Linked DNA regions of Saccharomyces cerevisiae S288C. The protein of the gene in region 2 interacts with the protein of the main gene of each other region in a pairwise test. Each region holds a gene or a part of one and is shown on either strand. Other genes may lie near its edges.

Region 1 (4,709 bases), on a different chromosome or scaffold from region 2:
TCCGTTTTAAAGAGAGTATTATCACGGTCTGAAAATTAAGCAAAAAAAGAAAAGCGTGCACTTAAAAATCGGTGGTGGACAGACCGCATATTCCATAAACATAGATGGTACAAGGGCATTATGAGTCCTTGAATAGAAAAAATGATGAAAGAATGAATGCAATTCCGTATTGCGACACTGGCGAAGTGTTCGAGGCTGACACGATAGCGAATGTATGGAAAAGAGAAGATAAGGAATGGTTAAAAAGGACTCAAAGTGATCGAAGTGGATACGAGTATCCACGACTAGGAGAATCACCATATATCAATATGACAGACGACTTCAGAATGGAAAAGAAGGTAATATGTCAAGATATCTTTTGGTCATGTGATGGTACATCGTTTGTTTCTGTGCATAATGATTTTGGCATCAGACAATATTTAGTGCCGGAGGAAAGTAATACGGACAAGCTAAACAGAAACCTCCTTCTACCATTTACAAGGTTTTTTAGAAACCAGTCTATTGTTTCATGTGCAATAGACCCGTTTTACACGCTTTATAACGAGAATTCCGACAGGTTAGCTGGTGACAGAATCGTGGTTGGAGGAAAAAACTTCCCTCTACAACTATACTCTTTGATGGACGGGCAGTGTATCCTCAGCTATGACACGATGAACAAAATAAATGGAGAATACGAAACTGTATACAGTGTGAAAATCGATGTTGAGTCTCGTGTATACACTGGCTCATGCCGTAACAAAGTGGCGATATACGACAAGAGCAGACGAGATGCCGTGTGGATGAACCAGAGTACCAAAAAAGCAAGCAAGGGAAGACAAAGCATTATATCTTGCTTTGAAGAGCAACCAATGGGAGGGCAAGCTCTCTCAAGAGGATCTCTATTGTGTGGCAGTTATGCGAATGAAATGTTTCAGGTAGACTGCCGTCATCAACGACTAGAGAGACTGAACTACACCCGCACAGTTGCAGGTGGGATTGTACAAATCCTTACAAGCGATAACGGGCGTTACGTGTACGTTGTCAGACGCAACAGTGACGCGATTAGTATTTACGATCGGCGAAACCTGCAGCACGAGCTTAACGTATTGCGCCTACCGTTTCGGATCCACCACAACTCTGCAAAGTTGAAGGCATATATAGATACGGCTTACGGACTAAGTATGGGGACGCCGCAGGGAACAATATTGAACTGGGGTCGAGACCTTGTGGAATTTGGAGGTGTTCCCTCACACAATAGTGTTGAAGACCCACTAATCACGTCTATCCCGCCAGAGTCAGAGTGGCGCACTAACCTTGATTCTACTATTCCTGCCACGGTAGTGAAGAATTGTCCTGGGGATCCCGAACTGTTCGCCCTATCTCATGGGGGCACAATTTCATTATGCAGGTTCGGCGGCTAAAAACGGCAAACCCGTATTCGTGTATCACCCGGCCAGCTTTCTCCGATGAACGCGCACAAGTAAGAAGTTAAATTGCATCCCCCAGACACCACCTCTTTTGTTCACTTCTTGCCTCATGCCGTCAAAAAATTTTTTTCGCATCGAAAAAAATCCCCAAAAGAAAAGAAAAAAGTTCTTATTTTTATATAGTGCCACCATCGGGAAAAACTTCCCTGTAAAGCATTAACAGAGTCTTCCATCCCCGCTTCTGTCCTTTATTTGTTTCATAGAAGCTATTAAGCATCATATACTGCACACAGGAGCATGCATAGTGTCTGAAGCCTCTTTTGTTCTGTACTGCACATAATATTTCATAGAAAAACTAACGGAAAGAATCTACAACTCATAGTATCTGTAAATCCGTCCTATTGTCATATCACAATCACAGACTATGACCACTCAAGAATCGATCAAACCTTTGGTAGATAGAATCCTATCAAATCCCCTGCAGTTCAATGCTGCAATGATCTCTAACAAATCGAATAATAATGATACTTCCGCCGCGCCGGAAAATAGCTCGTATATTGTGATAGGAAAACAGCATAATAACAATAGTAATAGCACAGCTATTGCTGCAACGGCCGAATCCAAGCAAATAAAAGAAAATAACTTGATAGACAGGCCAAACGGAAAGAAAACCAACACTGTTCCTAAATCTATGGCTGAAGCTTTATTGTTGTATACTTCTAAAAATGATAAAGATGCTGCAGATGCTACTGGTGCCAAGAAGTCAGCGGAGCTTTCTACGGAGCTTTCTACGGAGCCTCCTTCCTCTTCTTCGGAAGATGACAAAGTAGGAAAAGAGGAAGAGGAAGAGGGTGAAATATTTCATGAGGCAAGAGACTATGTAGAACCCCGAAAAGCTAGTTTGAAGGAACGCGACAACGCAGATAAGGGCGATGGTGAAGACATCGGCGAAGACATCGGTGAAGACATCGGTGAAGACATCGGTGAAGACATTGGTGAAGACATTGGTGAAAACTTGGGTTCTCCATTAGCAACCATTGATGATTCATCTAATGAGAATGAAAAGGAAAAAAGAAAGGAACTGTCTACAAGCATTAGCAGTGATGACGAAATAGAAGACGACGAGGATGAGGATGACATGGATTATGATTCTAGTGCTATGGAAAAAGAGCTCCCTGAAGAAGAGGAGAACGATTCCAGCTCCAAAATTTCTGAAGGCGAAAAAAAGAGTTTATATCAAGATTTAATGGAAAATAGTACAGTGGAAGTAAATCGGTACGAACCAGTAAACAACACCAAAGAAAATGGAAACAGGAATCCAAAGGGAGAGGAGGAGGAAGAAGAGGAAGAAGAGCTGAAACATAAATCTAGGTCAATCACCCCTCCGGTTACAATATCAAATCTATCAAACTTTTACCAATTCAATGAAAATATCAATGATCGTGGTTCTTTAAACTCTACTAGAATTGTTAAAAATTGGGGCGACAAATTCACCAATTTGAAGCCTCGTGGCCTTTTGAATCATGGTGTTACTTGTTACACAAATGCTGCTGTACAGGCTATGTTACACATTCCTTCGATACAACATTATCTTTTTGATATACTAATGGGGAAATACGATAGCACCATCTCAAAAAATTCCGTTTCCTATACTTTAGCTGAAACAAGTAAAAAAATGTGGTTACCGGTCTCAAAAAACCCTAGAAAGAACGTTTCAGCTTCCTACATTAATCCAAAACATTTGATTTCCAGATTGGATGACATTAATTGTATGATGAGCGAATGGCAGCAGGAAGATTCACATGAGTACTTCATGTCTCTGATGTCAAGATTACAGGAAGATTCTGTTCCCAAGGGTCATAAACTTATAGAATCGATAATATATGACATATTCGGTGGTCTTTTAAAGCAGATCGTTACTTGCAAATCTTGTGGCAGTATATCTAAAACAGAACAACCATTTTACGATTTATCGTTGCACTTGAAAGGGAAGAAAAAACTTGATCCAAATTCTGACCTGTCGAGTGATAGCATTAACGGCACTTCAGCCACCACTTCTACCACTACCTCCAATGCTGCCACAAAACCATCTCTTTCATCCTCTTCATCTGTCAATTTAAACAATGGCTCACCATTTGCCGCTGCCAGTGATTTAAGTTCAGCCAACCGCAGATTTTCTATTGAAAAATCAATTAAAGATTTCTTCAATCCCGAATTAATCAAGGTTGACAAGGAGCAAAAGGGTTACGTTTGTGAGAAGTGTCACAAGACCACGAACGCCGTGAAGCATAGTTCAATATTAAGGGCTCCTGAAACTTTACTTGTGCATCTGAAAAAATTCAGATTCAATGGCACGTCCTCATCAAAAATGAAGCAAGCTGTTTCTTATCCTATGTTTTTAGATTTGACGGAATATTGTGAGAGTAAAGAGCTACCTGTCAAATACCAACTATTAAGCGTGGTGGTTCATGAGGGCCGCTCCCTTTCTTCAGGTCACTACATTGCCCACTGCAAGCAACCAGACGGTAGCTGGGCCACTTACGACGACGAGTATATTAATATAATATCTGAAAGGGACGTTTTAAAGGAACCCAACGCATATTATCTCCTATACACGAGGCTAACTCCAAAATCGGTTCCATTGCCATTGGCGAAATCTGCCATGGCCACTGGTAATGTTACCTCTAAATCCAAACAGGAACAGGCTGTTAACGAACCAAATAACCGCCCATTGAAGATTAATAGCAAGAAAAATAACAGAAAAAAATGGAAAAAAAATAAAAAAAGGAAGTTCACCAAATGAAAAAACTCGATATTCCTGGATTTTCCTCTTTTCATAGGCATTTTTATTAGCATTTCATTTTTATTATACCAAATCAATATATACATATAAATATCCGGTCTTTATTGACTTATAAAACAACTCTCAGTATACAGAGTTGGAGAAGCGTTTACTCAGAATAGCTTCAGTACTACCGAGCTTTGCTAACATAACGGGAGAAAGAGAATTTAAAACTTATATACATATTTACAGAATAGATCAGTAGAAAGAAGAAGGAAGGTCTGTTGAAAATTTCTCGAAATTGACGGTACTTTTTTGTCTTTTCACTACTTACAGATCAAGGTACAACCTTAATACCCATACTTTTTGCAACGCCAACTATTGATTTAACAATACCTTCCATCTCCAATAAACTATGCCTTTCATCACTCTTTTTTATCTTGGCTATTTCGTAAACGTGCTTCAGCGATAACTCTCCTAAAGCACGGGTTGGTCCCTTGGCAGGTGCACTGCCTAACATT
Region 2 (4,815 bases):
TGATGTTTTGAATGGTTATAACGGTACTGTAATAACATATGGACCAAGTTTCAGCGGAAAGTCCTATTCCCTTATTGGATCAAAAGAAAGCGAAGGAATTCTACCGAACATATGCAAGACCTTGTTTGATACGCTAGAAAAAAATGAAGAAACAAAGGGAGATAGTTTTAGCGTAAGTGTTTTGGCATTCGAAATATATATGGAGAAAACGTATGACTTATTGGTACCTTTACCTGAAAGAAAACCATTAAAGCTTCACCGTTCTTCAAGCAAAATGGACTTAGAAATCAAAGATATTTGTCCGGCACATGTCGGATCGTATGAAGACTTAAGAAGCTACATTCAGGCAGTCCAAAACGTCGGCAATAGGATGGCATGTGGCGACAAGACAGAGAGATCAAGATCACACCTAGTTTTTCAATTACACGTAGAACAAAGGAATAGAAAAGATGATATATTAAAAAATAGTTCTTTATATCTGGTTGATTTACACGGGGCAGAGAAGTTCGATAAAAGAACTGAAAGTACGCTATCACAAGATGCGTTAAAAAAATTAAACCAATCTATTGAGGCGTTGAAAAACACTGTGCGGTCCTTGTCAATGAAAGAGCGTGATTCAGCCTACAGCGCAAAAGGATCACATAGTTCTGCTTACCGTGAATCGCAATTAACTGAAGTGTTAAAAGATTCCCTTGGGGGAAATAGGAAAACAAAGGTGATATTGACATGTTTCTTAAGTAATGTTCCAACTACCCTATCAACACTAGAATTTGGTGACAGTATTAGACAGATCAATAACAAGGTTACAGATAACACCACAGGTTTAAATCTGAAAAAAAAAATGGATCTATTTATTCAGGACATGAAAATTAAGGATGATAATTATGTTGCCCAAATTAATATACTAAAGGCTGAAATAGACTCTTTAAAAAGCCTTCACAATAAATCTCTTCCCGAAGACGACGAGAAAAAAATGTTAGAAAATACAAAGAAAGAAAATATCAAACTAAAGCTTCAATTAGACAGTATTACCCAATTATTGAGTAGTTCTACCAATGAAGATCCTAACAATCGTATTGACGAAGAAGTTTCTGAAATATTAACGAAAAGATGCGAACAGATTGCTCAGCTTGAGTTATCTTTTGATCGACAGATGAATTCCAATTCTAAGTTGCAGCAAGAGTTAGAATACAAAAAGTCAAAAGAGGAAGCCTTAGAGTCTATGAACGTTAGGCTACTAGAACAAATTCAGCTTCAGGAAAGAGAGATTCAAGAGCTTTTAACTACTAACGCCATCTTAAAGGGTGAACTAGAAACTCACACTAAACTTACTGAAACACGCAGTGAAAGGATAAAATCTTTGGAAAGTTCTGTCAAAGAGCTTTCTCTTAATAAATCTGCAATCCCATCTCCTAGAAGAGGGTCTATGAGCTCGTCATCAGGAAATACTATGTTGCATATCGAGGAGGGTTCTGAAATATCAAATAGCCCTTGGTCAGCCAATACTTCCTCAAAACCTTTAGTATGGGGCGCGAGAAAGGTTTCTTCTAGCAGTATAGCAACCACTGGATCACAGGAGTCTTTTGTGGCAAGACCGTTCAAGAAGGGATTAAACCTCCATTCGATAAAAGTCACTTCGAGTACTCCAAAAAGTCCCTCTTCTGGAAGCTGACTATAATTAAGTTCGATAATTGTACGATACAACTGTGTAGTATCTTTGTAATTATAATCATGATGATAACGCTAATAATTTGTACGTATAATGCTGACTGAAAGATGTACTTTTCTTCTACCGTTTTTCTTCGGCGGCTATTCGTTTACAATGATTTGGAAAAATGAGAAAAATTGAAAATAAAAAATTCTGCTCGATGAGATGAGATGAGGTTATGATATATATGTAAGAATTCCTCAAGAAGAGGTTGCAAGAGTCTGCAGACATTATCATGGCAGCAAATAGCAATAGTAGAGTTGCATCAAACCATACTTCTAAAAAACAAAAGGTTAGGAGGAATATACATCCATTCACGAATAACACTCGGATTAAAAGAGCTAGTAAAATCGTAAAGTTTAATGATTCAGGCGAGGGCGACCATGTTTCAGACCAACGTTCGAACAAGGAAAATGTCCTTACTTATAAATCTTTGAAAAGTCGGGCAAGCGATTTACTCAAAATGAGAGAAACACTTCCCGTTTACCAACACAAGCGAGAAATAATGTCATATATTGAAAGCAATCCCGTTACCGTCCTTATTGGTGAAACAGGTTCTGGTAAATCAACACAAATTCCGCAATTCGTATTAGAAAAATTATATGATACGAAGAAGCATGGGTCGATTGCTGTAACTCAACCCCGTCGTGTTGCGGCCATCAATTTGGCTACACGTGTTGCTCAAGAACATGGTTGCAAACTGGGTGAACAAGTAGGTTATTCTGTCAGATTTGACAATACGACTACTACAAGAACAAGACTTAAGTATCTGACTGACGGTATGTTACTTAGAGAACTTATGATGAATAGTGACCTTAGAGAATACAGCGTCATCGTTATCGATGAAGCGCATGAAAGAACTGTGCTTACAGATTTGATATTGGGGTTCTTAAAATCCTTGATACAAGGGCCAAGACCTGATTTGAGAATAATTGTTATGTCTGCAACATTGCAAGCCGAAAAATTTAGTGAGTTCTTCAATAATGCCCCAATCTTATTTGTAGAAGGAAGAAAATTTGATGTCAAACAATACTACTTGAAGGCGCCAACAGATGATATAGTAGACGCTGTCATCAGGTGTTGTATACAAATAAACCAAGGTGAAGAACTGGGAGATATCTTATGTTTTTTACCGGGCCAAGAAGAGATTGACAAAGCAGTGACTATAATGGAGAAAATTGCAAAGTATGTTTCAGATGAGGCCCCAGTACCATTAATAGTTCCTTATCCTTTATATGCAGCTCTTCCCGCGGTCCAACAGTCCTTGGTCTTCGCTCCGATAAAGGGTTTCAAGAGAAAAGTCGTCTTTAGTACCAATATTGCAGAAACATCTGTTACCATATCCGGTGTTAAATTTGTCGTTGATTCTGGTCTTCGAAAAGTCAAAGTTTGGAGACATCAGCTGGGATTAGCCACTCTACTTACCGTACCCATTTCTCAGGCAAGTGCGATGCAGAGAAGTGGTCGTGCTGGTAGAGAAAGTGAAGGAAAGAGTTTCAGGCTTTATTGTGAGTCTGATTATGTGAAATTACCTAAACAAAGTGAACCTGAAATAGCCAGAAGTGACGTCACATCTCCTGTGTTAATGTTGAAGAGATATGGTGTTGATGACCTGCTAAACTGGACCTGGTTTGAGAACCCTGGAAAGGAAGCTATAGTAATGGGGCTTCAGGAACTTTATGAATTGGGTGCTCTTGACACTCGTGGAAAGATAACTAAACGGGGTCAACAAATGGCTCTGTTACCGCTACAACCGCATTTAAGTAGTGTCTTAATTAAAGCCAGTGAAGTCGGATGTTTGAGTCAGGTCATTGATATCGTCTCTTGCCTTAGTGTGGAAAATTTACTGTTGAATCCGTCACCAGAAGAAAGAGATGAGGTGAACGAGCGTCGTTTGTCCTTATGCAACGCTGGTAAAAGGTATGGTGACCTTATCATGCTGAAAGAGCTTTTTGATATCTATTTCTACGAACTAGGGAAAAGTCAAGATGCAAGCTCTGAAAGAAATGATTGGTGTAAAGGATTGTGTATTTCGATACGTGGGTTTAAAAATGTAATTCGTGTCAGAGACCAGTTAAGAGTTTATTGTAAGCGTTTGTTTTCTTCAATCAGTGAAGAGGATGAAGAATCCAAAAAGATTGGTGAAGATGGCGAGCTAATTTCGAAAATTTTAAAGTGTTTCTTAACTGGGTTTATCAAGAATACAGCTATAGGGATGCCAGACAGGTCTTATAGAACTGTTTCCACTGGAGAGCCGATAAGCATTCATCCATCATCTATGCTATTTATGAATAAAAGCTGCCCCGGTATAATGTACACGGAGTATGTCTTTACTACGAAGGGATATGCCAGAAATGTTAGTAGGATTGAACTTTCATGGTTACAAGAAGTTGTCACTAATGCAGCCGCTGTAGCAAAGCAAAAAGTTTCTGATTCAAAATAAGTCACCTACTCTTAGCGCATTTTTATTGTATATAAAGGCATTTAATGTAATTTATAGAGCATTATAAATCGTAACAACTACTGCAGTATGAGTTTCATGGATTCATTTCTCAATATCTTATGAATATACACAGGTATATATGTATATTCATGTTAAACGCCTTTCGAATTGTTCGTTGGCTTTTTTTGTGAAATTATCTCGGGAAAAGGGCGAAATTATATTATTTTGCCGTTGACATTTTGAAAAGGAATAAAAGATCATGAAAAAAATAAGAAAGGCAATTCGACGCATTTCTCTCAGCAAGCTATTCTTTACTTTTGAAGAACAAAATATTTTAGCAAAAAGGTTAAGACAATATAGTCGGAAGCAGTTCTGCGGGATCTGAAGGAATTGCGGAATAATGAGATTTCACGATAGTATACTTATCTTCTTTTCTTTGGCATCGCTTTATCAACATGTTCATGGTGCAAGACAAGTCGTTCGTCCAAAGGAGAAAATGACTACTTCAGAAGAAGTTAAACCTTGGTTACGTACGGTTTATGGAAGTCAAAAAGAATTAGTCACTCCTACGGTCATTGCCGGTGTCACTTTTTCTGAAAAACCAGAAGAAACACCAAATCCATTGAAACCTTGGGTATCTTTAGAGCATGATGGTAGGCCAAAA

The links.
Region 1: the proteins of DHR2 (region 2) and UBP10 interact in a two-hybrid assay, tested with the Saccharomyces cerevisiae proteins (4 studies listed by BioGRID, with this or other methods).

Annotation. Positions count from the first base shown.
Region 1 is NC_001146.8:287,668-292,376, forward strand, and holds UBP10 (ubiquitin-specific protease UBP10), read left to right. Parts: upstream 1-1,830; coding exon 1,831-4,209; downstream 4,210-4,709. Other genes in the region: SWT21 (Swt21p), read left to right, coding at 327-1,400; mitochondrial 54S ribosomal protein uL11m MRPL19, read right to left, coding at 4,526-4,709. UniProt on the Saccharomyces cerevisiae protein: Deubiquitinating enzyme involved in telomere and HM loci silencing, which is the repression of chromatin structure which leads to a stop in the transcription of nearby genes.
Region 2 is NC_001143.9:286,902-291,716, forward strand, and holds DHR2 (RNA helicase), read left to right. Parts: upstream 1-1,943; coding exon 1,944-4,151; downstream 4,152-4,815. Other genes in the region: SMY1 (Smy1p), read left to right, coding at 1-1,672; PSG1 (Psg1p), read left to right, coding at 4,552-4,815. UniProt on the Saccharomyces cerevisiae protein: Probable ATP-binding RNA helicase. Required for 18S rRNA synthesis.